Cricetulus griseus: one gene and its partner. Each later gene encodes a partner of the first gene's protein in a complex. Links are inferred from orthologs where the notes say so. Each region holds a gene or a part of one and is shown on either strand. Other genes may lie near its edges.

The links.
Region 2: Tert (region 1) and Nop10 share a complex: the UniProt entries of both Homo sapiens proteins name them as parts of the telomerase holoenzyme complex. The link is inferred for Cricetulus griseus from reciprocal best matches to the Homo sapiens genes TERT and NOP10.

What each region holds. Positions count from the first base shown.
Region 1 is NC_048595.1:368,306,581-368,322,417, forward strand, and holds part of Tert (telomerase reverse transcriptase), read left to right. Parts: intron 1-677; coding exon 678-873; intron 874-1,919; coding exon 1,920-2,100; intron 2,101-2,748; coding exon 2,749-2,928; intron 2,929-3,582; coding exon 3,583-3,741; intron 3,742-5,757; coding exon 5,758-5,859; intron 5,860-6,580; coding exon 6,581-6,666; intron 6,667-8,258; coding exon 8,259-8,372; intron 8,373-8,690; coding exon 8,691-8,762; intron 8,763-11,070; coding exon 11,071-11,259; intron 11,260-12,888; exon of another isoform or gene 12,889-13,001; intron 13,002-13,638; coding exon of another isoform or gene 13,639-13,687; exon of another isoform or gene 13,688-13,723; intron 13,724-14,022; coding exon 14,023-14,149; intron 14,150-14,534; exon of another isoform or gene 14,535-14,595; coding exon 14,596-14,657; intron 14,658-15,292; exon of another isoform or gene 15,293-15,635; intron 15,636-15,801; coding exon 15,802-15,837. UniProt on the Homo sapiens protein: Telomerase is a ribonucleoprotein enzyme essential for the replication of chromosome termini in most eukaryotes. Active in progenitor and cancer cells. Inactive, or very low activity, in normal somatic cells.
Region 2 is NC_048599.1:66,077,289-66,092,371, reverse strand, and holds Nop10 (H/ACA ribonucleoprotein complex subunit 3), read left to right. Parts: upstream 1-6,759; 5' UTR 6,760-6,847; coding exon 6,848-6,901; intron 6,902-7,153; coding exon 7,154-7,294; 3' UTR 7,295-7,524; downstream 7,525-15,083. Other genes in the region: Slc12a6 (solute carrier family 12 member 6), read left to right, coding at 13,402-13,672. UniProt on the Homo sapiens protein: Required for ribosome biogenesis and telomere maintenance. Part of the H/ACA small nucleolar ribonucleoprotein (H/ACA snoRNP) complex, which catalyzes pseudouridylation of rRNA.

The DNA of each region.
Region 1 (15,837 bases):
GTATTTTCTTTAATCGCCTGGAATTGATGATTCAGATAGGATCCATCTGTCTTTGCCTCCCTAGCACTGGGATTACAGGCACAGGCCATACCTAGCTTTTCTAAGTGGGTTCTGATGAACTTGGTTTTCATGCCTCTAGCGCAAACACTTTACCAGCTAAGCCATGCCTCTGGCCCCTACCTGAAGACATTCTTAGCTTTAGCAGTTGGTAGAGGTCAGGGTCTGCTGAGTCAGTCCATCCCAAAAGATTCACTGGATAGTGAGTCACAAGGTGCTAGGTCAGATTCAGAGCTTGGAAGTGAATGGGAGTGAGAGATGGCTCAAGAGAATGCAAGTCAGAGATGCTCAAGAGCATCTCACTCTCAGTCTGCAGCGTTCTATCTCTAGTCACTAGGCCTGCAGGATCCCATTACTGACATGGCTTTGTCAGAGAACTTTAGTTTATGACCTACCAAAAATAAGTCCCGTACCCCCCCACCCCACCCCATCCCCCACCCCCCCCCCCACCCTCCATCCCGCGCACACACAAAGGTTAAGTTAGTTTATTGATGCATTCTATTAGAACCCACCATGTCCAGAGTAACACCTCGTGGGCTCATTTTGGGGTCCCATGGCTTCCATGCTGGACATCATGGGTGTGGGGTGAGTCACGGGTGTTGAGTATCTACTGCTTTCAGGAAACAACTGTGTCCCAGCCGAAGAGCACCGTACGAGGGAAAGGATCCTGGCTATGTTCCTGTTCTGGCTGATGGACACATACGTGGTAGAGCTGCTTAGGTCATTCTTTTACGTCACAGAGACCACATTCCAGAAGAACCGGCTCTTCTTCTACCGCAAGAGGGTATGGAGAAGACTGCAGAACATTGGAGTCAGGTACCACACATCTCTGTTGTCGGTGCTTGCTGTTTACGTATACTGACTTCAACAGTGCTTGGCACCTGCTAGCCTGTCCATGGGCCTTCAGGACATAGACTCCATGTAGTCATGGACTGGAGATCCTGCTTTCTGACCTGTAAAATCTTAAGTTGGGCCTACACCATCTATAGGCTCAATAACGTAGGAGGAATTCGCACCAAACAGGAGTAGAGTAGCTGCTTGTTTGGTACATGGGTCAGATGGGTTCTACCTTATGTCCTGAAGGAAGTACAATATGAGGAGCCTCCTCAGTGGGAAACCACAAGATTCCACCCCAAGAGCTGGCGGAGGCGCTGAGTGGCTGAGGTTCTTTGCTTGTTGAGCTGGGATTTACTGTACCAGTGGAAAGTACATAGACCAAGTTGAGGAGGCAGAATAGATGCCAGGCAAGGCCTGCAGAGATCAGACTGCCATGTTAACCAAGGTTGCCCTGGCTGTCTTGAAACTAGCTCTGTAGACAAAGCTGGCCTTGAACTCAGAGGTTCTCCTGCCTCTGCCTCCTGAGCACTGGGATTAAAGGTGTGTGCCATCGCCACCCGGCTCCATGTTTCATGAAGTCCAACCCTCATTATGTGTTACATATCACCCACTGTGCTTGTGGGATCCTTAGCAGCCAACACAGGACTTCCTATGTACTTTGGCACACATGAACCTGAGGTGGGCAGGGATGCTTTTTGCTTTCACACCTGTGTCTAAGCCAGGTTATCCACAGAGTGCAGCAGATTGCTTCAAAAGTGCCCTGGCCAATGGGATCACCCCAGAAGGGAACACGAGGGCAGACTACGGGATCAGATGTCCCAAGTGCAAACACAGGCTTTATGTCATGTATCCTGCCCAGACAGTTGTGTGGGTTGCCTGGTTGTCGAGAGTTGCTATGGTCCTGGATGTAGTCCCATAGCTTGGCCAGTTGTCAAATGACCCAAGTTCCTAACCACCCTGATGGGATGTGTCTCTCGAATTTCCCACATGCTCATGTCGTAACTCCACAATGCTCTCTGTAACAGGCAACACCTTGAGAGAGTGCAGCTGCAGGAACTGTCACAAGAGGAGGTCAGGCAGCACCAGGAGGCCTGGCCAGCCATGCCCATCTGCAGACTGCGTTTCATCCCCAAGCCCAGTGGTCTTCGGCCCATTGTGAACATGAGTTATAGCATGGGCGCCAGAGCCTTTAATAAAGGGAAGCAGGTGATTGCACTTGGCTCCTGTACTGCCGCTTGAGCCTGCTCTCTGGTTACACAAGGGCTCATGAAGTTCTGAGCCCTGGGCAGACAGAACAGGAAGGACGAGGAACTGGTTGTTCCCAAGTCCAAAACTTCAGCGTGTGAAAAGGCCCTACAGATGGGAGATGGTCTCAAGAGCCAAAGGGCTTGGGACACAAACCTTGGAGATACCTCAGGGATCCTGACAGGTAGGGTAGATACTTTATGGCCTCCATGATAGGGGCCAAAGTAACCAAGAGGGCAGCTGCCTCCCTTCACCATAGCTGGATGTCCACAACATCTTACCCCTCCCGGTGCCAATGTAAGGTGTGTGGGGTGACTTGTCATTAGTAATGCCCAGAACACAAAGTGAAGCTATTGATGCCTCAGCCCAGCTGGGGGACATTTGTGAGTGAAGTTGATCCTGAACCTGACCCCAGCCCAGTGGACATGTCTCATTAGACGGCAGTGCCCTTGGTGGTAGGTGAGAACAGGTTGGAGCAGGTTGGGTGAGTGCCCCAAATGCAGTCAAGTGACTTAGTGGGATAGGTCTTCTAAGACTCTGAGATATCAGGGTAGTCTGGGACAGTCTGTCAGGTTCGTTTCTAATGTGTCTTTTGTGGCCCTGGCCCAGGCTCAGCATTTCACCCAGTGTCTCAAGACTCTGTTCAGCGTGCTCAACTATGAACGGACAAAACATACTAACCTTCTGGGGGCTTCTGTACTGGGCCTGAATGATGTCTACAGGACCTGGCGGGCCTTTGTACTGCATGTACGCACTCTGAACCCGGCACCCAGGATGTACTTTGTTAAGGTGATCATTTGGACTCCCGCCATCACATTTGCTCCCATGGTCTTGACTCAAGGGACCTCCTTGGAGCAGCCAACACTGGGTGACCCTATTGTAGGTGGTGGTTGAGAGTGCTGGCCCCTGCTACCATATATAGGCCAAAGTTACCGTGGCCTCCTGTTCTCTCTGGAGCAGGGGGACCCCATACTTCTGGGATAGCCTTGTGTGGATTCCCTGGACAGTGCGCTCCAATTCCTCTGGGATCTACCCTATAGGAGAATCCCGTTGGATGCTGGGTCCTACTAGCCATGATTGACTCTGTCTACCACTAGGGCCTGCATGCTTCAGTATCTGTGTTAGGCAGGGGCCCTTGCAGGCTGTGAGGCTCTGCAAGGAGAATGTAGGTTTTCCTTGACCTAAGGGTCTCAATCTGGGATATTGGGCTGGAGAGAGGAATGTAGACCCACTATGCCCCAGGGTCCTTTGTCTGGAATGGGAAATTTGTGGGATAGGCACATGTGGCTAGGCTAGTACAGGAGCATGGAGTTTCTTTCTCCTGTCTGTCTATCTCCTACTGGTTTGCTTAAGGGCAGGTTGGAACCCAGACACCAAGGACAGAGCCAGCAGGACCCCTGGGCCTAGGCCCAACCATGCTTAGTGTTCACATGTGTTCCACAGGCAGATGTGACCGGGGCATATGATGCCATCCCGCAGGAGAAGCTTGTGGAGGTTGTTGCCAATATGATCAGACACCCGGAGAACACATACTGTATCCGCCAATATGCAGTGATCCAAAGAGATAGAGAAGGCCAAATCCACAGGTCCTTCAGGAGACAGGTGAGGCTATGGTGGACTTTTCATCTGTGCTGTGAGCATGCTGGTGGCACAGGGCTTTTCATGTCGTGAATATCTGGACTCTTTCAGTGACACAGGTAAGGCTGTGATAGGTCCACATTTCTGGCATGTCCATACAAGGACATGTCTGTGGCTTGGGTATCCATGGTGCCAGTGATCATTTGTCAGACCCCAGCGTGCCTCCCTCTACAGGACTCCCAATGGAGATCCCCCCAATATCCTCTTCAGTAGGTAGGTGGGGTCTGTGGGTTCAAAGGCAGAGGAATTTAGGCCTGGGAGAGGCGCAAGGTGACTTCCTTTCCCTATATATAGGACATACAAGACTCACAGGCAAGCTTTAACTATACATGCATGATATGTGCAGTGGCCATGTGGCTTCTGCACCAAGGATCACTACACCCAGGCGATTCCTTCCCTACTCTGGTCAGAGCAGCTACCATTGTGCCTCTGTAGAGGCTAGATGACAGCATGTGTGAGTTATTTTCTCCATCCACTACATGGGTCTGGGGATTGCACTTAAGTCCTTAGGTTTGGTGGTAGGTGTCTTTACTTGCTTAGCCATTACACCAATCCCAAGGAAACACCTGAAGTTATACATTTCTCTGCAAGACCCCTCAGTAGTCCCGTACACATGCTGGCTTTTGTCAGTTCATTATCACTCAGTTCAAAACCTTCTCTATTTATTTATTTATTGCAGTTTTTGATATACTCTTTAGTGATTTAGAAGCATGTTACTTCATTATTTTGAAAATGCAGGCATTTTCTATTTATATTGCTATTTTTTTCTTTATTAATAAATTTTTATTTAAATTAAAAACAATCTTATTTTACATACCAATCCCGGTTCCCTCTCCCTCCCCCCACCAACTCCTCATCCCACCCCCACCCACTCCCCAGGGATGGTGAGGCCTCCCATGGGGGTTCATTAGAGTCTGTAACATCATTTGGGGCAGGACCTAGGCCCCCCTACCCCACCCCCCCGGTGTATCTAGGCTGAGAGAATATCCCTCCATAAGGAATGGGTTCCCAAAGTCCATTTGTGCACTAGGGATAAATACTGGTTCCACTGCCAGCTGCCTCATAGACAGCCCAGACCTCCGAACTGACACCCACATTCAGGGGATCTGGTTCAGTCCTATGCTGGTTCCCCAGCTGTCAGACTGGGGTCTGTGAGCTCCCTCTTGCTCAGGTCATATTGCTATTCTTTTCTAGGTTAATTCTTGTACTTTAATTTCTCTGGGTGACTTTACTCCTAGTACTATAGCAAACCAACTTGGCACATGGGTTTTTGGGGTTTTTTTGTGCTACTACTATATGTTAATTGTACATAATAATGGGTTTTGTTATGACATCTTTATGCACAAGTATAATGCATTTTGACCATATTCATACACGCAGCCTAACATGGGAAATTATAAGGTTCAAAGCCAGTGTGCAGTCTCCACATATGAGAGCATGAAACAGAAGTATTGCAAGTTTGAGGACAGCCAGCATTACTCAGAGACCCCAGTGTTCACACGTCTGGACGTCTTACACCTAGCATGCTAGGAATTGTTCCTGTGCTGTCAGTAGATGGTGCTGTATTCCTTCTGGTGACATCGTGTCTAGAGACATGGATCTTGGTGGCCACTGGATAAAAAGCAGGCATCCTAAAGAGTCTGTTGCAGGAGATGAAGGAGCCATCCCCTCCCTAATCCTGTCAGCTCTTCCTCCTGACTGCCGCTGTCTCTGTGGAGAAGTTGGGATGCTACTTGTGTTGTGACCATCGGTAACCACAGCATTATGGGGGTGTCTGACCCAAGGAGAGCTGACTGTGGTGCAACCTGCTGTTTCTGTGGCTCTTCCTGCTAGGGTGCTAGATTCTCCCTTTTCCTGTTAAGACTCTAGGATGGAGTGGTCCCACACTGTTCTATTGTTGAACTGTGCTGTGGCAGTCCTGGCCAGAAAACCATGTGCCCCTCTGGTTCCCCTCAAGTGTTTACCTCTTCTGTGCTGCAGGTCTCCACCCTCTCTGACCTCCAGCCACACATGGGCCAGTTCGTGAGGCATCTTCAGGACTCAGATACCAGTGCGCTGAGGAACTCCGTTGTCATTGAGCAGGTCCTTGGGCTCCCCATTAATCGGCCGCACCTGGTGGGGCCTTCCTCCTCTACTTGGCTATTTGCTTCAGTGTAGGAATGTGACCAAGGTATTCCTTGGTGGAGAGTTCCCATGACCAAGGCCACTCTTTCCTGGTGGCAGTCCCCATCCCTATGACATGACCTAGACTCCCCAATAGCTACTAAGGTGGGCATGCTCTGAAGTGCCCTTTATACCCTCGTCCCCCATACTCCACTGATCTACTAGTGAACTGGTAAAAATATCTTCTCCCTCAGTTTTGACCTTGAGACCATAGTTTTATTTTAGTGGGCAAATTGGACTTGATCTGTGGTCCCCATCTTGGCCCATTCAGTTTACCTATGCCACACCTAGGAGATCTCCTCCCACAAATCAGTGGTTCTACAGAACTTCCTTTGTACATATCCTGACTTTGGGGCAGCCATGCTCACTGAGACCTTTGGATGGTTTTCCTTTAGCTCAGTGGGGTGCTGTGTGAGCTCCAAGTTCCCCAACCTAGTGCTGTAGAAATATAATAGGTTACATTGCCACTTTGTAAGTTACATACCCTGTCACCTTGAGTCAATTTCTTCCTGGCCATGCAGGGACACTTGACCCTGGCCCCACCCCTACTTTACCATGAACATTTTGGTCTTACAGGGTCATCTGGTGGCAGAGTTCTGCATCCTCCCACTCATCTGTCCACATGTGTCTGCTTTTCTAGAGCTTATCTCTGAGTGAGGCCAGCAGCAGCCTGTTTGACTTCTTCCTGCACTTTGTGCATAACAGTGTTGTGAAGATCGGTGGCAGGTAGGCACAGGCGTAGGGCAAGTGGGCAGAGGCTGGGCAGGTACAGATAGAGACCATCCTGACTGCTGAGCAGGGTGCTTGCTAACTGGCTACAGCACTTAGAAGCCTATCTGACTGGCTCCCTCTGCCTCATTGCTTCCTCCCCACTCCCCTTCATAGAATTTTCTTGCCCTTCTGCTGACTGGGCCACGGGGCTGCCTACCCATGAGGCCCTGGGAGTTCCTGACTAAGCATGGTCCTAATGAAGTTAATAATTTTGTATGCCTCGAGTTCCTGTTGTTACTTTGACAAAGTGGCAGGGGCACCTCACCTGTTTAGCCAGGCATGAGACACATGTAGACACATGAGACACATCAACAAAGAGAGTGCAGTGCCTATGGCTGAGTCCCCCAGAGACTCCCATGAGTTATAAGCCAGAGCAGGTACCCTTTGAAAAGCACTGCTGTAGTGAAGGGAACCCAGACTGGCTCAGTGCTAGAGCTGTCTAACAGCCCATCAGCCTGCAAAGACCTACTTTGTATGTCTGGATCAGATGTGAGGTTGAATATTTGAGCATTTGGTTGCATCTTCTGTACCCAAAGTCCCCACTTAGAGAATGGAATGCACTTGGCACCTTTTTGCTGGACTGATAGGAGCCTACACAATGAGTGCCAATACAGAACAGAATTCCAGGCTCACACCCAGGATTATTAGAGATGAGGGCAGGCAGGACAAGAAATATCTGACTATCAAAAGTCACAGTATGTGTTGGGCTGTAATTGGAAATGTTTGATATGCATGCTGGGAAACCACAAGCTACAAGCATGCAACTGGGTGTTTTTTTCACAAACACCACAAAGGGTGCTCCTGAGTCCTGATAATACTGAGCACAGATTTGTGAGTCTGTGTCCATGTGGTAGATAACTTAGTCCTAGTGTGGGTCAGCCAGATACACTGAGAAGTCAGGTCTGTGTACACCATGCCTGGAGAGCTTCCTAACAGATACTCTAGCCAAGGGGACTGAGTCTGTGCAAGGGGTCAGCTCATACCTACTCTTTCTCACACACGGGTTCCCTGGGTAAGTTCCCTGCCTGACCATCTGAAGGTACCCACCCCTGCCGGCACCCACCCCTGCTGGCACCCACCCATGTATGTTTGATTGAAGGGTGCCATTAGGTTCTCTGTGAAGAAGGCACTGACAATTTTACATGGCTATGACCCAGAATGTCCTTCCACTAATAATCTGTTACTAATTGTCCCAGATAAATATTCAGTTCAAGAGCCTGATTGCTTATCATTAATGTTTAAAATCTAAAAATTTTAAATAAAAAAAAAACAACCTGGAGTCAGTGAATGGGGATGTAGCCCCCCACCACCCCAGGTTGTAGTAAGAGTTGGGAATGGGAGAGATAAGGGTGGTACTGAGTTTGGAGTCTTTTTGGGTCTTGGCAACTGACAGTAGTAGATATTACTGTTTGTTTACGTGGTCTTTGAGCATGTTTACAAAATGGTGTATGTCTGTGTACATATTTATACATGGGGGGTTGTCAAATGTGAGTGTGAAGCCCACCATGGCTGCTGCTTCTGACCTTAACCACCACTGCCATCCCCAGGTGCTATGTCCAGTGCCAGGGCATCCCCCAGGGCTCCAGCCTGTCCACCCTGCTCTGCAGTCTGTGTTTCGGAGACATGGAGAACAAGCTGTTTGCTGAGGTGCAGAAGGATGGGTAAATTGCTTGTTTTTACTGCTCCAAGGGCCTGGGTCATGAGTTGCCATATCTTCACACTTGGAGTTCCCAGCTCACTGAGTGGGTGTGACAGTTGCTTTATGTCCGAGATGTAAAGGTCATCCATTGCCTTCACTTCGTGCAAAGCTGCAAAGTGCACCAGAGCTATGTCTGTTAGGAAGACAGTAAAGCTGTCGTTTATCTTCTTTTGAAATACCACTTTGTTTTGTCTTTGTGCATTGTGACACCTAAAATGTTTCAGGTTGGATCCCCTACAGGTGGATTCTGTGTGAAACCTGTCAACATGTCTCATTTTAGGCTGCTTTTGCGTTTTGTTGATGACTTTCTGTTGGTGACACCTCACCTGGTCCAGGCGGAAGCCTTCCTCAGGTAAGGACTGCTATGCCTGGGTTTCTGCCGTATGATCATGATGTATGTGCAGCTGAGGCAGCACATTTAATCGGTTTATAATTTTGTGTTCCTGGAGCTCGTGTTGTCACCAAGACCTAGTGGCACCTCTACCAAGTGGCAGGGTCACCTCACCTGTGCAGCCAGACATGGGTACCTCCAGCACCAAGGAAGAGAGTATGGCACCCATGGCTGGTCCGACATGGTCTCTCCGAGGATGCAGTGCGGTCAGAGACCGGGTCATTTCCAGTATTTGGAAAGTCTTCAGATGAGACAACAGGCAGTAACTCCTATGCCTCCCAGCCAAGCCCACAGAAGGGCTGTTTGCAGAGGCCTAAGGCACTTAGCCCTTCTAGAAGATGTGAGCATAGCTGTCTTAATTAGAGTTTTTTGGGGGGGCGGGAGTTTGGGTTTTTCGAAACAGGGTTTCTCTGTGGCTTTGGAGGCTGTCCTGAACTAGCTCTTGTAGACCAGGCTGGTCTCAAAATCACAGAGATCCTCCTGCCTCTGTTAATTAGACTTTCTATTGCTCTGAAGAGACACTGTGACAACAGCAACCCTTACAAAGGAAAGCACTTAATTGAGGCTAGCTTACAGTTTCAGAGGGTTAGTCCATTGTCATCACTGTGAAAAGCATGGCACTGTGCAGGCAGACATGGTGCTGGAGAGGTAGCAGAGAGTTCTACATCTTGATCTGCCAGCAACAGGAAGGACTGTGTGCCACACTAGGTGTAGCTTGCGAATATGAAACCCCAAATTCTGGCTCTAGTGACATGCTTCCTCCAACAAGGCCACACCTCGTAATAGTGCTACTCCCTATGGGCCAAGCATTCAAACACATAAGTCTATGGGGCCATACCTATTCAAACCATTCCTGATAACTTTGAGACTTCACACCACACCATGAAGAACAGGCACTGGGTGAACAGGCCCATGGCTCTGTAGAGTAACTTTTCTTTATGGATTGTTAGGAAGAGACCAGAGAATTTGTACTTACTAAACATTGGTGTTTTGAGACATGGCTGTTGTATTAGGAGTGGTCATTTTTCTTACATTAATATTCATACTAGTGAGTTATAGTATGTATCCCAGGCTGTTTGTAGTATATAGAGGTGAGGTCAGGGTTATTGCATATCTGGGTGTAAAGTTAATTTTTGTGGTTCAAGCTAGAATTGAGCACTGCAGCCCTGCTTCAGAGCAGGACCATCAAGTGAGGTTCCTTGGGCACCACAGAGTTTGAGGGTTCCTTCAGATCATGTATTATAGAGGAAGCCCCCTCAGGCGCTGTGAAGTTTGTAGACCTCCTTTTAGGGTAATTGACAAGAGGAAAAACCTGAATGTGATTAATTAAGCCGAGCCCTCAGAAGTTGTCACCACTGAGGTATTGGTGTTTCTGGAAACACTAAATGCTGTCCAGTTTCAAATTTGCCCAACAGGGCTCTTTTGGGCATAGTGTCCTCGAGCCCAGTAGGTTGTGCATGTCAAGGTAGGTAGAATGAGGTGAGAACAGCCCCAGTGTGTCCCTGTCACATCTGTATCAATCAGAAGCTACATGGCCCATACATAGACAGTGGCCACTGGGGACAGAGGACAGACACTGCTGCTGTTGAGGAAAGTTCCAGAAGTCAGTTTTGTCCCTAAGACCTTGTCAGGGAAGTGGCTCTGGATCAATGTCAGATCACCAGGTGATGGGGCCACTAGGTGGGGGCTGTCCATGGACACCTGTAGGAAATATTTACTACAAGGAGCTGGCCAGGGCAGCTGCAAGGACTGACTAGTCACAGGCAGGTGGATGGCATCAGGTGTTCCCACCCATGGGACAGGAGCTAGACTACTGCCAGACTGCCAGTGTGAGTTCACTCTGAGGAAGGGTACACATTTACTTTCAACTCACTGGGGAGGTCTTCAACTCACAGGCAAGCAGTCAGTTTAGCATTTGCTGGGAGGGGAAGCAATCCACATCTACAGGCATCTCAACGTATAAGAAAACAGACTTTTTGGGTGAGGGGGAGAGGGTCCCTTGCTACATGGATGTTAAGGTATAACCATCAGATGGTTATGTGAACCTTCCTACTTGTTTGACTCCTGGCCATCTTGTTCTGAGCTGGCCCTATTGCTTACACAGAAGAGCAGCCCCAGGCTACAGTCTGGACCAAGACTGCCTGGTATTCCATCAGGGTTACCCACAAGGACCCACTCTCTCTGATCCCAGAACATCTCTGGGTATCTTTGTGACATGTGCTGAGTGTGCTTCCAGGGTTCCATAACCAATGTTTCCTCTCTTACTCAGGGCCCTCGTCCATGGCATTCCTGAGTACGGCTGCATGATAAACTTGCAGAAGACAGTGGTAAACTTCCCTGTGGACCCTGGTGCCCTGGATGGTACAGCTCCACACCAGTTGCCTGCTCACTGCCTGTTTCCCTGGTGTGGCTTACTGCTGGACACTCAGACTCTGGAGGTGTTTTGTGACTACACTGGGTAAGTACATCTGGCTGAGTTGAGGACCCATGAGCTCCTGGGGGCAGAAGATGCAATGGGATGCTCCATTCTTTTTCCTGTTGAGGAACCATGAGCTCCGGGGGGCAACTCACCCCGGAGGTCTTTGACTCATAGGCAAGTAATCGGTTTAGCATTTGCTGGTAGGGGAACCAATCCACATCCATGGTTCCCCTATTGAGGAACCATGAGCTCCTGCTGTGTGGTGTTCCATCCTGTTTCCTACTTTTGGACACAAGTAACCATGAGGCTTGAAGTGATAGAGGCCCAGAGATAGACATGTGGGCAATACGAGAACATCTTCAGCCTCGTCCCAAGTCTCCTAGAGACCATGGAGCTAGGACCCTTCTCTGTATTGAGGTATAAAGGGGGTGTGTGTAGGGGGGGAGTTGGTCTCCAGTTACCACAAGCTCACAGCCCAGCTTTAGTGTAGATAAGACAGATTTGAGATGGACGGAGGTGAAAATATCTGGACCATTTCTTTTATGAGTAGAAGCATGAAAATTGTGGTAGGAAACTGAACCTGTCGTCATGTTGATAGCTATCTGTTCTGAGCTGGGATCCAAACTCTCCTGTCTCCATAGTGCTCTTTGGAAGTTCACACTATAAGGGAAGAGGTGGGTGCAGATAAGCTATCTCTGTGCTGCCTTATCTGCTGCCATTTCTGTCCTCACAGGCCTGGGCTCCTCAGCCTTCCTGTCTTTGTATGCTAACTTGGGCCAGTCCCTGGGATTCAACTCAGATTTAGTTTGGCTTCACCCTCTGCCCCTAGACCCACTTTTGCCACCCCAGCCTCAGTGCTCAGCACTCCAGTTGCTCCTAAACTATTAACTTGCTTAATCCATTCCCCATGAGGGGCCTGAGCTTTTTTAGAGGATAAAGTCCCTGGCTCAATCCCCTTACACTCTTTAGTGTCATTGAGTAGTAGGTAAAGCAATCAAAAAAAAAAAAAAAAAAGCATTTCCCTTCTGAACATACAGCTAAAGCCAGATAATAGCACAACCTTATGAGAAGCCAGGCTGACTGGACAGGGGGAATTGGAGAACACTCTGACACATAGACCAGGAAGGTCCCTGCTTCCAGAGTCAGAGCAGCTGTGAGCTCATTTATCCACTGAGGCTGCAGAATGGGTATGCTCAGCTGAGCCAAGGATCCCCCTGTCTGAGCCAGGGACAATGCGTCTAGAGGTCAGCCAGAGTGACTAGCAACATCCTAAAGGGAAAGTATATTGGTAGGAGTTTCTTCTCCCCAAAGCATAGTTCACATGCAAAGTGTGAAGAGAACTGGCAGAGCACTGCAGTGTAGATAACAGTGTCTCCCAGAATTGTGCAGTCGAGCTTTAGGACCTGTGGGGAATCGGTGCAGGACCCCCGTGAATAGCAGTATATCGGCTTAAACCCTCACAAAATGCTTAGTGTGTGTGTAGGCTCTGTACATATGTAGTCACATATGCTTCGAGTCGCTCAGGCGAGGGCGGCATCTCCAAAAAGTGACACTCGCTGGTACTATGGTACCAGAACACTCATTTATTTTTCCTAGTGATTCCACATCTTCCTGTCCATCCTGGAAAAAAAAAAATCAGAGACTACCAAAAGCCTTACTGTTTTACAGTACTGAGGCTGGTTTGTCTTGCCCTTTGACATAAGCGGTGGCACAGAAGATGCTACAGAGCACAAGCAGCCTTATTCTGCTGTAGACACCACGTTTTCAAACAGTGCTAAATGGTAGGAACCCTATTTCAACATCAAAGTGTTCAAAAGCACATGTAGGAGGTATGGGGAGGTGACTTGGGTTAAGAGTGCTTGCTGTGCAAGAATTGAGGACCTGAGTTCAAAACTCCACCTACATGAAAAGCCAGGGTGGTCACAGGCACCTGTGTCCCCAACACTGTAGGCAGAGATGGAGAAAAGTTGGCCATAGGGGCTTGCTGGCTGCCGGCCTAGCTCCAGGTTCAGTGAGACATCTTGTTTCAGGGGAGTAATGTGCAGTGTGAAAGAGCAGGACACGCCTTCCTCTGGCCACCATCCACAAGCACAGGCATGCTCTCAAACATGCATAAAAATATAAATAAATAAATAAATAAATAAATAAATAAATAAATAAATAAATAAATAAATAAATCTTTTAAAGAAACTTAACAGAGGTAACTGTGCCTGTCACCTGTATTCATCTTTGAGGATGATGCAGAGTGTGACAAGAAGGTACCACCCCTTACCTTCTGCCCTGCACATGTCCCGTTCTTGGAATTTCATTTCCGAAGCATCCTACAGTCAGCAGGTGGTTTGATACCATTGTAGGCATTTCCTTACTGTGTGCTGCCACCCAGATCTGGCTGGAGGTAATTTTCTGCTCCGTTCACAGCCCTGTGCTGGGAAGGCGCTCTGCCAGGTTCCAGCCACTTAAAGAGTGATTTCCTGTATGATTTCCTTCTGTGATTTTCTGAACTGTGAGTTTTGACGGCCCTTTTTTTGCCACTGATGAGCAAAGATGTCTGGTGATCCCAAGCCTGGACAAAACGGATGTTGTTCACTACATCTGTTTGGGTTTGGTTGTCCAGGTCTCTGGGTGGTGTTGTGAGCATATACCAAGAGCTGGGTGGGATGTGTTCCATGTGTGAAGGTCCATCCCCATCTAAGCCCTCAGTGTATGGCAGAGAGGGACAGGAAGTGGAAGGGCGTTGGTGCTGGTCTCTCAGAGGAGGGGTTGGTGTGGGAATCACACAGATAGGATACCTTTGTGCTGCAGTTACGCCCGGACCTCAATTAAGGCCAGCCTCACCTTCCAGCGCATCTTCAAGGCTGGGAAGAACATGCGACACAAGCTCCTAGCTGTTTTGCGGTTGAAGTGTCACAGTCTGTTTCTAGACTTGCAGGTAAGCCATGGGCAGCCACCTCATCTGTTGTGCAGGTCCTGTTCTTTGTGTGGGGGCATGTGCATGGGTAGGTGATATGGGTGCAACTGTGTGCGAAGAGCATGTAGACATCTGCATTTGTACTGAGGATCCCTGAGCACCCAGCCTGCTCATCACTTTCCAATGCCATCATCAGTCCCCACAGAGAGAGAGGCCCCCTGGATCCTGGCCTTGACCTTGGGCTTTCAGCCCATTGCTGCTGAGTTCTCTGTCTAGGAGGGGCCACTGTGGTAGGCTTTGGCCTCTGCTCCCTCCTGCTTCTTCCCCTCTTGATGACACTGGGGGCCTGGCTGGATTTCCTGGATTTCCCACACAAGTGACTTTCTTATCCCATCTGACAACACAGAAAATGTTCATTTTTGATCCAAGGAATGTTGCTGATGGTTCTCTTTCTGTTGGGACTCCAGATGAACAGCCTTCAGACAGTCTGCATCAATGTGTACAAGATCTTTCTGCTTCAGGCCTACAGGTGAGTCATGGACTGTGCCACCACTAGAGGGAGGCACAGGCCACAGTGCCTGCCATGCTGCTGGGGCCTCCAAGCCTAAGGCAGAGCTGGCTAGTTGCTCCCCTAACTGGGTGGCATGCTGAAGTGGGTTTAGGAAAAAGCAGCATTCAGTTTTTGTCACACAGCTCCATATTTGTCAGATGAGAACCTCTTTTGCTCTCTCTGCACTGGGAGCACATGCGACCTAATGTGCTGACCAGAGCCTGTAGCCAGATGTCTTGAGACAGGAGAGGGAACTGGGGTAAAGACCCCCCCAGGAAAGCGCCTCAGAAGGCATAGGATGGGAAAGGGTAGCAGGGGGATTCAGAGCCTCAGAAAGCAGAGAATCAGATCCATTGCTGATAGCAATCTTGCACTCCAAAAGGCATGACCAAGATACAGCCTAAAGCAGCCTGGCCATCATGGTGCCCCACACATTGTGTTGTGCTTTTGGAACATTCTTGTCTTCAGTTGGTCCTGAGAACCTGGGGCTGGTGGCTGATCAGTAAGAGCCATTCCCAGGTTTCAGGTAGTGAAATTGTCTCCACCTTAAGTCAGGTTCCTTAGGCCAAACCCCATGCCATTCACGACACAGTCACTTCTCTACCTGACCACAGGGACATGGCACAGGTCCTTTCTCCTGAAGGTCAAGGCTTCCCATGACTCAAGAAAGGAGGGCTGCTCCCCAGAGTTGTAGCAGAGTCCAGAACTCTTCCTGCAGTTGGCAGATGGTCACAGCAACTACAGGCCAGATTTATGTCACTGAGGATCTGTCCTCCTCCTAAGTAAACTCCCTGGTCACTGGATCAGAGTACGGGAAAGAGCTTGTGCTGTGGAAGACTGGGCACATTGCTGTGATGTGAGGTGACAATTACATGAGGCACTTGGGAAGAGACTAGTGATGTGGCAGGATATATGTATGAAGACACGAGCACACATGCTGAGTGTTCACATGTAGCTGTAAGTTCATTTGTGCATGCGATTGCATGATTCGGGTGAATGTAGAGCACATAGATCTGTGTATGTGTAATTCTCATGTATGCACAGACAAGAGCTTGCTGTACATGTGTACATGCATGTACACATTTACCAAGGGCCTTCCCCCACCGTTGTGGCTCCTGCCCAGGTTCCATGCATGCGTGCTTCAGCTTCCCTTTGACCA
Region 2 (15,083 bases), on another chromosome or scaffold:
GCTTGGCCCACCTCATCCCAGCTCAGCAGTGTCAGAGGGCGGGAGGGCCCTGGCATTTGGTGTCAGGGACCTACAGGACAATCTCTCTTCCAGCTTTATGACAGGAAGTCTCTCCATCTGCTCGTCTGTAAATGAAGACTACCATAAAATGCTTGTCTGACTTCACAAAGTTGTAGGTATTCTTTGAAAAGTACCTGAACGTTTCTTCTAAGCCAGGAAGAATGTAGTAGTGTTTTTAGTTCTCTTACCAGTGTCTTCTCACTCTCATAACTGCCTTCAAGAATTCTGGAGTAACCCAACCCAACCCAACCCAACCCAACCCAACCCCAGTGCCTATCCCAGAGTCCTCTCTAAAAGCCCTAGGAACATCCATCTTGGGTACCCACCCCCACTTACATAAGAAAGCAGGAAAGAGCTTCTGCATCAGGACTCTGGGATAGGTGAGTCCGGGCCAAGACTTTGTAGCGCTGCCAGCGACGATAGTTCTCATAAACACCCTTGGAAGCATAGGCAAGGTCACCTTGAGAGGGCTTCCGGGCAGCCACTGGACCTCCTTCCATGTTTGCAGCTTGTGTTCCTGGCCAAGACTTTTCCAGGGGCACAATGGGAGCCAGTTGGGCAGTTGGTGGTAGAGCCTGCACAGAAAGTCCCGCAGGGCCCTCCTGGCTCACTCCCACAGCCACAGCAGGCAGAGTGGACTTCATACTAGAGGTTGTCACATATGGAGGAGGCAGCCCCTCCTGGCCCCCACCAGGAGCCCCTGAGGTAATCCAGTTCAGGGCTGTCTGAGTAACTATAAGGTTCTGACTTTGAGAGGGCTCAGCTGGCCCCACTTCTGTCTTGACTTTAACAATGACCTGGCCAGTTCCAGCCACACTGGGGCCAGAGCCTCCTTCTCCTGTCACCAACAATGGGCTGGGAAAAGCAGAAAGGAGCAGAGGACTGCCTGGAGAGAATGCAGGAGGTATGGGGGGCTGTGGTGATGGCTCCCAGAGGGGTGGGTCTGGTGGCACAGGAGTAGGTGGGGCAAAGGGAAGCCCAGTGAAAGGGGGCAGGCCAGCACCAGGTTTCATGGCCATATCTGGTCCTGGTAACGGAGAGGCTGTTGAGACAAAGAAAAGAAGGGAGTAGGAAGGAGACCAGAAGTTAGGCCACATGACTTCCTTTTAGTTCCTATGGGATCAGAGCAATGACTCTTAATGCATGAAGGAGAGGACATGGATGGGTGGATTTGTAAATGTCTCCCAAGGAGTCCTTTACCCCTGAGTTACCAGGCTAAAGAAGTTGCTCCCTTTCAACGAGACACATAGACCTGCGTCTTCCAGGAAGAACAAGCTCAAGCTGCCACTGCCTCTGAGAGCTTTTTTCAAAATACTCGTGGAGGCCTCCCCTGCCAGCTCCACAGTGTCAAATAGGACTGACACCTGTTGTGCAAGCAGGCTGGGTGCTGGGAAAGTTCCAGACCCCCCAAAAGCATTCATGGGGTCCTTGGGGAGGCTGTTTCACAAACACTGGTCCATCCTCTTCCTCCCTTCCCTATTCCTCTTACTCCTAATAATCTCATCTCAAACAACAGAAGATGCAGTTTACGGATAGGCGCAATGACTCCAGAACTCACAAGGCTCATTTCTCCAAAAAATCATTCCACCAGCATACATGGACATCTACTAATCCTGCCCACTCCCATGAGATAGAAACCACCTGCTCCCAGCTGCTCTGTGTCCCCTGTCAACATTCACAGAAGTACAGTCCCCAGGACAGGGTATGGCAGCCTGAATTCTTTCTTCCCAGAAACTTCATTATGTAACAGCTAGGAATAGCTGGAAGGATTAGATAAGGACCAGGAAATGATGGGGATGGGCATGGAGGGAGGGAGATTTCCAGTGCCTTCAGGAACTACTGGACAAGTTGAAATTTGGCAGTACAGGTGGTCCTGCTTCTTAATGTTAGAAGTTTAGGGCTCATGAAGAATATAGCATTGAGCTGAAACTAAGGAAGAATGAAATCTAGAACACAGTTCCTGCTGGGACGAGCTATGTGGATGCTGGTCAGGCAGATCAGGGGATAAGCACACAAATGTGTACTTCATTAAACAGGGCCTGTATCCACATGATATCCACAGGGACATCCACATGATTTTTAATGATAAAAACAGAAGCCAATCGGCCTAATTTCATGCTGTTCTTCTCCCTATTTTAAAAAAGAGTATTTCACCAACAAACCAGCACTACTCAGATTCCTGACCACAAAGGAGACATGAAATAGGAACAAACTTATGTTCACACTCATCTAAGTCACACAACAGAAGGTTGGGTTATAACTGCCAATTTCTGCACATTGTGAAATGCTGCTAAGGTCTTAGCTCCACAATAGGTAATAAAACCAAACATCTCACTATGGCTAACATGACCTATCTTCTCCATTCTGAAAGTCAAGAAAGACTGCTCCCCACCCCATGGCTGGGTAGTGGTGGTGTGCGCCTTTAATCCCAGCACTTTCGAGGCAGAGACAGGTGGATCTCAGTGATTTCAAGGCCAGCCTGGTCTACAAAAGTGAATTTAGGACAGCCAGGACTGTTACACAGAGAAACCCTGTCTCAAAACACAAAACAAAACAAAAAGAACAGACAAATGGAAGGAAGGAAGGAAGGAAGGAAGGAAGGCAGGAAGGGAGGGAGGGAGGGAGGGAGGGGAGGGAGGGAGGGAGGGAGGGAGGGAGGGAGGGAGGCTACCCCTAACAAAAAACATACTTAAAAATAAGTACAGGTTTATTAATACAACCACTCTGGAGGATGAGGCAGGAAGAGCACAAGTTCAAAGGCAGCCTGGGTTACAGGAGTTCAAGGGCAGCCTGAGCAACTTAGTGAGACCTCACCTCAAACTAAAAAGTACAATAAGGGGCTGCAGATTTGGCTCATAGAATGCTTGTCTAGCATGTGCAAGGCCCTGGATTCAATTTCCATAAACAAAAATTTTACACACACACACATGCATGAGCTCACACATGTGCCCAGAAATGGTCTATGGGGCACGAAAAGTACCCTCCCCAGAACACTAATTAGATGGAACCTTGAGCTTAGAATTCCCAACTTCTAGATATATCCTTAATACATTACTATGAAAGAAAAAAAGAAAGAAAGAAAAGCCTGCTGCCTGGACTGAAAAGAAGCCACCTCTGGCTGGTAGAGGCCTTCAGATCTGAGGCCAATCAGTTTTATAAAATCTCTAGCCCCATTCACTGGCTCTTAAATGAATAGCCCCCTGAAAGACTTTTAGCTCTCCAAGTAAGCCGACTGTCCCCCTGACCCAAATTCCCACTTCTCCATCCATCAGCCTCCTTTCCCTCGAAAGATCAAAAGACTCAGCTTGGCCTTCTCATGGCAAAGTCCCAGAGCAGGCACTAGTTGCCAGTAGACACAGATCTTGAGTCTTCCCTGAAACCCTGACTACGTTGCCCATACTGCACATAAACCCATGCATGTTAAAGTACAACCTCTTCCTGGGAATCAATTTGGTAATTGCTGTCCATTACCTATACTCAGTGTGTTACACCTGAGGCACTTTGGTTTGTTTCCAAGGAGGCTTCCTCCATTCTTAATGGTAAAAATCTACTTCCCTATGCTCCCTAATGCCTGTGTGGGGTCTAATGTCTCACATCCCTTTAGGTTAGCCTAAATAATTTGTTCCTAGATAAAGGGACAAATCTGACACTCCAGGGATTTGATCAGGTGGAAGATACCCTCCATTCTCCACCACCCCCAGTCTTACTTCTGTCTGAAGCCATCATCTGAGATTTAGGTACACCAACAGTGGCTGTGGGGAAGCCTCCAGAATGAAACAGTTGGGTCCAGGAACCAGGCAGTAACCTAGCTCTAACAGAGGATCTCCAAGGAAGGTAGGGTAAAGACTGGGTAAAAACAGAATTAGAATCTTGGACACAGGCATTCTGTAGTGGGGGAGGGGAGAGGGTATTTCATGGTGAGAATGATGAGGTATTACACAGTGGGTTCTGGTAGGTAAGCAAAAAGTAAAAAATCCTGTGCTGGAGCGATGGCTCGGGGGTTAAGAGCACTGGCTGCTCTTCCAGAGGTCCTGAGTTCATTTCCCAGCAACAACATGGTGGCTCACAATTATGAGATCTGGTACCCTCTTTTGGTGTGCAGATATACATGGAAGCAGAATGTTGTATACATAATAAATAAATAAAATCCTTTAAAAAAAATAGAAAATCCCTCTAAGTTCATTTGATAGCATGATTGTTGGGTGTCTTTTTTCTTTTGGGGGGGATGTCTTTCCCCCCTCCCCCCCGACAATTTGTACATTGTTTCTCAGATTCTCAATATTATACTGTAGTTTTTGCTTTTGGTTTCTTATTCTTCTAATCTTCAACAACATATCTAATCCTCTGCCCTTCGGTTCCTCTAGTTCTGTAACTGGCTTACTATTAATAACAAATTAGTGGTGGGCCTTTGGCTTGTTACAACAATAACTCTATTTTCTGAGCCAAATTCAGAGCACACAGTTTGTATAGTTGAGGATGGAGAAAACAAAATGTTTGAAATGGAAGTATTTCAGATGATCTAGGGTGTCCAACTGCTGTGGTGTGAAAAACTGCCACCTACTTGTAGTCCTAGGACTAAGGAGGCTAAGGCAGGAGTTTGAGAAAAGCTTGAACTACAAGTGGAACTATCTATCTGAAGAAATAATTCTCTCTGCAATCCCCACACAGTCCAGTCCCAGCAGCTCTGCAGTTCATGGAAGCCACAGCCTTTTCCATTTGCTAAAAAAACTTAATAAATTTTAAAAAATTATATATATATTAGTTTCAAGAGGTGTAAGCCATGTAGCCCTAGCTGGCTAGTAACTCTACAGAGATCTGCCTGCCTCTAGCTTCTGTGTACTGGGATTAAACTGTGTACTGTGTACCTTTTTTTAAAAAGGCATAATCTTTAATAATTTTTGAGGGGTTTATGCAGTTTTATTGAATATGAATATTTGTCTGAATGTAGGACTGTGCAACTGGGTAAATGCCTGGTGCCCCCAGAAGCCAGATGAGGGAGTCAAAGCTTCTGGAACTGGAGCATTGCAGCCAGTTGTGAGTTGTCATATGGGTGCTGGGAACCGAACCTGGATCCTCTGCAAGAGCATCAGGCATTCTTAACCACTGAACCATTTCTCCGGTCCCTTTTTCATTTTTTGAGACAAGAATCTGTCTATGTAGCCTAGGCTCAAACCTAAGACTGTCTTGCCTTAGCCTCTTGAGTGCATAAATTAGAGTCCTTGGTCACAACCGGTGCCTTAAAATTACCATAAAGTCTTTCACTAAATTACTTTTTGAAGTTATTAAATTAATTACATTAAATTAATAGATTAGCATAGCTGAAAAGTCAAACTAAGAAAAGTTTGAAGAGAAAAAAAGGAGATAAAAGGGTATGGGAGGATGAAAACGACTAAAATTCGGTGTGTGTGTGTGTCTGTGTGTGTTAAACGGTAGACAACAACAAAAACCACACAAAACAAACAAAAAACCCAGGGCATGCAAAATAAAATACGCAGCAGCAAGCATTCTTTCCATCCATTTCCCTGTAACCAAATCCTCCTCCAAGCCAGAAGATGCCGATATTAACTGTTTCTAGTACATTCCCGCCCCTCGCAAAATCTCGTGCATGTGTACACGTGTACACGTGTACACACACACACACACACACACACACACACACACACACACACACCACACACACACACACACACACATACACACACACACACACACACACACACCGTTTGGCTTTTTGTTTCTCAGTTTAAAGCAGGGTCTTACTGCTCGAATACTGCTCAGGTCGGCCTTGAACCTACTGGTTGCTAGAGATCCTTCCGCCTCAGCCTCCGGACTTCTGGGGTTACAAGCCGGTGTTAAACTCCCTAGTTTTTTTTAATATATCTTATGAGACGACAAGTAAACCAACTATATTCATTACTAAAAAAAAAAAAGAAAAAAAGAGAAAAAAAACTAAAGTTTTTCTGGCTATAAATTTAATATGTTACAATATTTTTGCCACTATGAATAGTGCTACAATGGTCATTTTGCAATATCTTGGTTTTAATTTTAATTTTTCTAAACTAGACTCTTATAAGACTTTTTATCTTTGAAAAACTGGAAATACTCCAAGAAAGTTACCTTACTGTGATATTATTCGCTACTCACCATGTAAGAAAGAGATGAATTTGTGGTCAGGTCCTGAGTTTGAATCTTGGTGCAGCCTCTAAAACAAAATTCACCAGTTTCATAAGAAAACCTTTACGTTCTTTTCGCTTTGCATAATATCGAATACCCATCATGCACTCTTTACCGCCAACACTTTGAAATGGGGCGGGGAACCGGATGTAAAAGTGGGGGTCTGAAAAAAATCTTACATCTTCCCTAGGATATAGGAGGTTGAGTATCCTGGAACCCTTGTTTCTCCAGGAACTACAAAACTAATGCCTCTGAAATGGGTGAGCAATTTGAGAGTAAAGACAGGACTGGATGCATCAACATTTAACCCACACCCATCCCTACCTCCCAACGTCTGGGAGTCCCTGGCACACAGTGGGCAATTCCATGGCTCTTTGCAAGGCAACTTTGCAAGGTTGTAGCTAGTTGGGAAGACCAAGGCCAAGTTCTGCTCCACTGTGCCCCCTTCTGGTCAACTGGATATGACTGGAGAAATGGACTACATTTCCCGGCATGCCTTGTACCGACTTCCGGTCAGATGGGAAGGATGTTGGCGAACACGGTTGAGGCGGTGTATTCCAGGCAAACGCGCCTGGCTGCGGAAGAGTGAGGATCTTCGTGCTGAGTTGCAGTCATGTTTCTCCAGTATTACCTCAACGAGCAGGGCGATCGCGTCTATACGTTGAAGGTAAGGGGAGAAAACAGCTGTAAGTCGGGAGGACAAGAAATTTAGGTGGGAGGAACAGTTGGAACCGGCCGCCGGCCAGCGCAGCCGGGTGCTTGGAGCCACGTCCGGGCCGAAACGTGGTAGATGCCGGCATTGCACGACTTCTTGTTCTGACCGCCGCGTCTCCTGGCTTCAGCTTTCCCATTTTCTTGTTGTCCCCTTGCTAGCACACCACTCATGTATTGAGATCATTTTCTTTTTTTCCTCGAGCAGAAATTTGACCCTATGGGACAACAGACTTGCTCTGCCCATCCTGCTCGGTTCTCCCCTGACGACAAATACTCAAGACACCGAATCACCATCAAGAGACGCTTCAAGGTGCTCATGACCCAGCAACCGCGTCCTGTTCTCTGAGGGTTCGTTAATTTTCATGTGCTGCCCTACCCCAGGCCGATTATCAATAACCAAAGGCGTCAGTCCGTGAGCAGTGAAGCCTTCCCATGCTGTTTGGAATCCTATCTTACTACGTGACTGAGTCTGTCGTGATGGGCATCGCCTGTAAAAGGAACAGTCTTAACTTTTTTTTTTTTTTTATGCTTTGAATTACTGCCAGGTTATTAAAGAGACAATGTCTTGAAAGTTCATTTTGTGTGTGATTGGAGGGAAAGATGGGGGAGTGTAGTGCCGTTGCTAGTACAAGGCCACTTGAGAACAATGGTAAGCCCTCACTTTTGAAGTAGCAATGCGCCATGAGTGTTAGGGTGTTGGGGAAGAAAGGCTGAGAAAGACTCCTACAAAGGTCAGCGTTCACTGAAAATATACTCCAGTCCCTGGAGTAAATTGTGGCCCCTTTAAATAACATTCCGAATTCCTCAAAGAATAATAAAGGCATAAAGACTTAATTGGCAGTTACGAAACTGGTACTGTTACCCCCTCTTTAAGGAGTAAAGGCACTCAACTTGTTTAGTCCTCGTTTTTGTTTTTGTTTTTTTCCTCAATTTTAAGAGTGGGAAGGAGCCTGGCGGTGGTGGCGACGCCTTTAATCCCAGCACTCAGGAGGCAGAGAGGCAGGCAGAACTCTTGAGTTCAAGGCCAGCCTGGTCTACAAATCGAGTGCCAGGCCAGGCTGCAAAGCCACAGAGAAACCCGGTCTCGAAAAAACCCCCCCAAAAAAAAAAAAGAAAAAGAAAAGTGTGTGTGTGTGTGTGTGTGTGTGTGTGTGTGTGTGTGTGTGTGTGTGGAGGTGAATCTTCTTAGTAATTATACAGTTGTTTGTTCAGCTGTCATAAGTGGGAATGTCTTTGACCAAACTTGCTGTCCTGGAAATCTATCCACACTTTTTTCTCTCTAGTCAGCTTACATATAATAACCCTACATCTGTTACATCTGTATTTTCTTTGGCAGCCAGCAGCTATGTGTAATGCCCCACATATCTTAATTTTGAAGAGGTATGAGAAATTAATGAAAGGATTTTTGTTGTTTTCCAGTCTAGAGTTGTAAAGTGTGTGTATAAATAAATATATACATACATACATGAAATGGAAGCTTAAGGACTTTATCTGTAGCTCTGGCTATTCTGGAACTCTCTGTAGATCAGGCTGCCCTCTGCCTGGCAAGTGCTGGGAGTAAAGGTGTGCACCACCACCGCCCAGCTCATAAATAGCTTTGAACTCAGAGAGATCTGCCTGCCTCTGCCTCCCAAGTGCTGGTGGGATTAAAGATGTGAACCACCACGCCCAGCAACCTAAGTGATTTTTTGTTTGTTTGTTTGTTTTTGCAAGACAAGCTTTTCTCTGTGTAGCTTGGGCTGTCCTGGAACTCTTTAGACCAGGCTGGCCTCCATCCTTCTGCCTCTGCCTCCTAAGGACTGGGATCAAAGACATGTGCCCACCATGCTTGGCTAACCTAAGTGATTTTTAGTTAAATTATTCCATATTAAAATAACGGTGAAGTAAAATACTGTATTCAGGCATTCAAGAAATGCTAGTTGGCTTCTTCCTTTCCTTGTCAAGTTAACCAGTTATCAGTCTCATTCCTGGATTGTGACATTGGATCTGAATGTATGTTTACTGCCACTAATTTTTTTTAAGAAGTATTTGTTCTTCTTTTATATGTGTGTTTTGCCTGCATGTATGTGTGTGTGTCATGTTTGTTTCTGGTACCCATAGAGACAGAGGGCATTGAATCCCCTGAGTCTGGAATTAGGGATGGTTGTCAGTGGTCATGTGGGTGCTGAGAACAGAATCTGGATCCTCTGCTGAGCAATCTCTCCAGCCTCAGTGCCACTAATTTTAAACTTCATAGAGACTGTGTTCTGCAATCTTGCTGAATACTCATAGAGGTAGAAAAGTTCAGTGTTCCTCTTGACTGTTGGTGTTGAAAGAAAAAAAGAAAAATCATTTGATATATCTACCTTAACAGAAGACAGGTAACTTTCAATTAAGTAGTAGATCTGCTAAATTCAAATAGTTATATGTTTGTTTCTTTTTCCTTTCTAGTAATTTTATTTCTTAGCCCATTCATGAACACAGTTTTTAGTGTTGTATGTGAGAAATTTTTTTTTTTTTTTCTCAAGACAGGGTTTCTCTGTGTAGCTTTGGAGCCTATCCTGGCACTCGCTCTGTAGACCAGGCTGGCCTCGAACTCACAGAGATCCGACTGCCTCTACCTCCCTAGTGCTGGGATTAAAGGCGAGCGCCACCAACGCCCGGCGTATGTGAGAAATTTTAAAGAATGAATCATATCCTACTAAGGATATAGAAATGTTAAAAACTCTGCAAACCATGGGTCTCTTGAGTTCGTGACTAGTCTGGTCTACAAAGTGAGTTCCAGGACAGCCAAGGCTACACTGGGAAACCCTGTCTCAAAAAACCAAAAGAACAAACAAGAAACTCTGCACATAATTGGAAAAATGTACAACTGGAATTTTCTGGGTTTTGGGGGGGTTTATTGTATTTGTTTGTTTTGGTTTCTGAGACAGTCTCTTTATTCTGAGTGAGTCTCAAAATTGCTTTGTGGTTCAGGATGACTGGAAACTTTTAGTTCTCCACTGTTGTTGCCTTCATGTATGCATTCACCTTGTGCATGCCTGGTACCTTCTGAGGATAGAAGACAGAGTTGGATCCCCTAGAACTGGAGTTATGGATAGTTTTGAGCCACCATGTAGGTGCTGGAACTCGAACCTGGGTCCTCAGCAAGAGCATCAAGTGCTCCAAATTTGCTGTTTAGATTTTTAAAAATGTATGTTTATGGGTATTTTACCTCCGTGTCTATGCATATGTGTGCTAATACCCACCGAGGCCAGAAGAAGGTGTCAGATCCCCTGGGACTAGATCTAGACAATTAATTATAGCCTTTATGTGGCTGCTGGAGATAGAACTCTGGTCCTCTGGAAGAGCACCCCTGTCTCCAGTCCCCACCACTATATTTTGAGTTGTGGGATAACAGGTGTGCATTACCACCCTGGTTTATGGTGAGGATCGAACCTAGGATTTGTATGCTAGGTGAGCACTCTACCAACCCTGGAAGTTTTTTCTTTTCTTTCCTTCCCCTCTCTTTCTGTTTTGGTTCTTTATGTAGCACTGGCCACTCTGGATTGCACTATGTAAACCAGGCTGGCCTTAAACTCACAGATCTACCAGCCTCTACCTTCTGAGCACTGTATTACTGGCTGTCCCACCACACCCAGTCCCTGGACGTTTTCTAACTACCAACTCAGTGAAATCTGTCTGGTAGGAGGTGTGTCTTCTTTGTTTTTTCAGTATTGAATATAATTCTGTCCTTACAAAAACAAATAAAAGATTAGCATTCTGTGCCACCAGCAGTGCAGATCAAAATAAAAGACTAACCTGGAAATAGTAGTAGTCGATATGGAGGAGAAAAGGAAACTCATGAATCTAGCAAGGACTGAAAAGATCGCCTGGATAGTAACATCTGAGACATACCTTTAGTGAGCTTGATTATCAGTTAGTGTTTGCAGAAAGGAAGAAGAGCGGCAAGAGTGAGCTAGGTGGTAGATATAAGTAGATGCAAAAATTGTGCAGAAACGCCAGTGTGTCTTTTTTTTTTTCCTCATTAATGGAAGTTTAAGCCTGGCTTTCGATTTTCAAGGGAACGGGAACAAGAGGCAGGAAAGTAGCTACACTGAAGATGAAGATTTACAGGCATTTAAAAAGAGACATCTGAAATTTTACACTGACGCCCGGCGCCAGCATGTCTTTATAAAGTCTGATATTTGAATGAACTGCAAGCCTGCCTTAGAAAGTAGATCCCCCGGGGATGGCTCCAGGGCTTCTGATACATTCATACAGACATAAGCAGGCAAAACACCAATGAACATACATTTAGAAAGAAAGTAGCTGGGTGGTGGTGGCTCATGCCTTTAATCCTAGCACTCGGGAGATCTCTATGAGTTTGAGGTCAGCCTGGTCTACAAGAGCTAGTTCCAGGACAGCCTACAAAGCCACAGAGAAACCCTGTCTCAAAAAACATATAATATATATCTCCTTTATATGTGAGTAAGTGCACCGCTTCCATGCCTTGTCTTCAGCAGTTGGATCCCCTAGAACTGAGGTTACATGCAGTTATGAGCCAAATCATGTGAGAACTGGGAACCGAACCAGCAGGGTCTTCTCTAACCATAAGCTGATTTAACTCTTTGCAAGTAAGAGGAACCAAGGATCCGGGCAAGACTCCAGCTAGTTTCCACATTTTGATCAAACCTATAAGAAGTTTTCAAACGAAAGATTATGGAACTGAAATTTATTAAACATCATGATGCACTAAACACTAAACATATCTAGTTGACAGTTTAAAGTAGGTCAAACACTGGAAATGGAGTAGAACAGATACCTCAATGCCTTCTCAATGTCTATATAGTTCTCTTTAATGGAAGTTTAAGCCTGGCTTGGGATTTTCATGGGAACAGGAACAAGAGGCAGGAAAGTAGCTACACTGAAGATGAAGATTTACAGGCATTTCAGAAGAGACATCTGAAATTTTACACTGAGCATCTCATCTAGGATAAATAGATGTGGTAATGGGAGGTTTGGGTGCCATAAAGGTAAGGTTTCCAGAGAGACTCTAATTAAAGATGACCCCTGCGGTCCCGGGGTAAATGGGCATTGACTGCCCCTGAGCTGCATCCAGAGTCCACGCAGCACAGGTGACACGAGAAAATGCATCCCGCCACACACGTTCAGACCCGGAGGCGGACTGCAGTTCCCGTCGTGCTCCACGTGAGAGCCGCCGGCCCGCGCAGGCGCGCCGCACGCTCGCTGTCTCGGCTCTGCAGACTCCGGGCGGGGCTGCTGGTGCCCGCGGGACGGCGCCGCCCTCCAGCTGCTCCCCAGACTTCTCAGGACGGTTAACCTCGAATGAGGAACGAGCGGGGCGGGAAGGGGAGGGCTGCGGCGGCGCGGGTACTGCCCGCCGCGCCCGGGGCGGGGGGCGGCGAGGTCACGTAACGGCCTCGGGCGTCTGCCGGGGAGGGGGCCTCCTGCGCGCCGCGGCTCCGAAACAGTTAGCGGCTAGTAAACAACAGCTGCGCGCGCACCCGCATCAGCTGGCGCGGGATCCCGCACCTGCGACCTCCTCCTTAAACCTAGCCGAGACCAGCCTGCGTGGCCGTCTTCTCGGCTGAGACCCAAGGAGAGCCGGCAAGAGGCCACCCGCGTCGGCCCGGGGGAAAACGCGTCCTGTCACACGCGGCACAAACACGGCGAGAGTCGTGGGCTCGAGAGACTCGCGACGACCTGCCACGACCCGGAGCTGCCCTGATCCGCTAGTCGCCGCCTCCAGCTCCTCGGTCAGGAAGAGATCTCGAGGAGGCAGGAATCCACTCTGCCCCGGCATCCTCTCGTTGCTCTCCTTTCTCTCCATCCTGTAGTGTGGGGGTATTTTTTTCCCGTTATGCATGTGCACCTCTCCCACCAGACCCAAGTGGATTGTCGACCTCAAAAACATCGGGTGGTTCAGCACACACCTCCTCCCAGCCAGACCTGTGGGGTATTCACCTGATACACAACAGGTGGCCGGTGCACACCTTTTCGCAATCTGATCCACGCTATAGTCGCCTGATAAGGGTGGGCCTGCATGCTGTTTCCTCAGCTAGAACCGTGGGACACTCCGCAGATAAAGGACTAACTACCTCACCAGGACCTGGGGGTTGAGCAAGAGAGAGGCGTCACCAGCTGCTGTGAGATCATGGCATGGAGCCCTCAGCCCTGGACCAGGGGAGATAGCTAGGATTCCGAAGGAGCCAAGTTATACAAGATTAGCATCGTTTTGTTCTCATTGTTTTTCAAAAATTATTTTTCAGTTACTGGTGGTGTACTTTATAGAACAGTTGCCTTGAATTCTAAGTAGAAGGATTCTTAATTGGGCCTTTGTGGGATGTAAATCAAGGTAATTGAGGTTTTTTTTTTTTTCAAGTTTTCTATTTTTGCAATCAAAAGTACCTAGCGTAGGAGGAAGAGTTTTTGTGAGCTTTTCCTTTTCTCTTTCTGGAAAAGGGGGGAAAAATGCATCCTCCAGAACCCACCACCAAGATGTCTTCAGTTCGGTTCATGGTAACACCAACCAAGATTGATGACATTCCAGGTTTGTCCGACACCAGCCCGGACCTCAGCTCTCGATCTAGTTCCAGAGTAAGATTTAGCTCCCGAGAAAGTGTGCCAGAGACAAGCCGTAGTGAGCCTATGAGTGAACTGTCTGGGGCCACTACTTCTCTGGCAACTGTTGCCCTAGATCCTTCCAGTGACCGGACCTCTAACCCCCAGGATGTGACTGAGGGTAAGTAGAAACCAGAAGACAGGGTGTTCCAACCCCTGGGTTGTTCATGCAAGGTAATTACCTACTCTGTTTTATAATAATCACCAGGAATTAAGGACCACTTTTCTGTGATGCTTAGGAGCCTGGGAATAATAGTGGCCATAGTAAGTCACTGCAGTGGTCACTTGGCCTTTTGGAAGATATCTGGCAAGAAGGCAAGGGAATGCATATTTTGATATCCTCATTTTTGTCTTCTTATAACTAAAGTGACTATTTTTGGTTAGAGACAAACAATTAACTCTCTCACAACACAGAGAATCCTAAACTGTTAACATTTAATGGGCTGGGTATGTACTTCCTAGACAGCTTTGAGGCTTTGACTCTTAACAGTCAGCTTTTGGGCAGGTTGCAAGGATTAGCTACTGCTTACATCTTAATGGCTTCTTCCAGAGATTTAGCTGTGCGCCATAATTTTTTTTAAATTTATGTTCTTATAGAGTGTTTAAAGTAGCTAAGTTCACTCAAGGAGATGCTATTCTTTTGAATGGAACTTGCAAAGAGGCTTCTAGTGCCCATTCCCACGTCACTTGACTGCTGAGCTTTAGACAAACTATGTTGTGTATTTTATTGGGTTTTCGTAGTCAGGACATATAGGAGCCTCTTCTGCTCATATTGACTGCTTCCCAAACTTGACCTTGAACTTCATAGACTGGCTTATGTTAGAAGTTTTCATTTGATTTAGTTTCATGCAAAGAGAGATAAGGCATCTGTTTCAGACTAAAGAAAAAAGTTTGAAAACGGCCACCTAGTTTTATGCCACATCCTGACCAGTGTAATCTTTCTAGTTAAAAAAAAAAAAAAAAAAAATCCCTTAAGGTTCCTAATGACTCCTAACAATTCTGTTCTACTCAAGTTTGAAAACATGGCCTTGGCCACCAACTTGTGAAAGCAAGAGTGACTTGCCATTTCCGGCCTCAGGAAATACTGTTCCTCCTGACCTTAAGTGTTCCGGAAGCCAGAATAGTTTTAGTTCCTCAATTTTGTTTATTTTTAATGTCTCGAGACAAGATAGACTTGATAAAGCTTATAGTTCTAGAATTCACTAATCCTTAACTAGTCATTTTTTCTTTTATGTCAGTATTATATGTTAATTCTTTTTTTGTCCCCCCCCCCCCCCCGCAGGGTTTCTCTGTGGCTTTGGGGGCTGTCCTGGAAGTAGCTCTTGTAGACCAGGCTGGTCTCAAACTCACAGAGATCCTCTGCCTCTTCCTCCCAAGTGCTGAGATTAAAGTCGTGCACCACCAACACCCGGCTATGTTAATTCTTGCTCTAACTGCTTTCCACTGCTTACTAAACCTTACACTGGGTTATATTCTGAATAAAAGATTATAATTTCTTCCTTTGCCAAATTTTTTTATTTGTTTGCTTATCT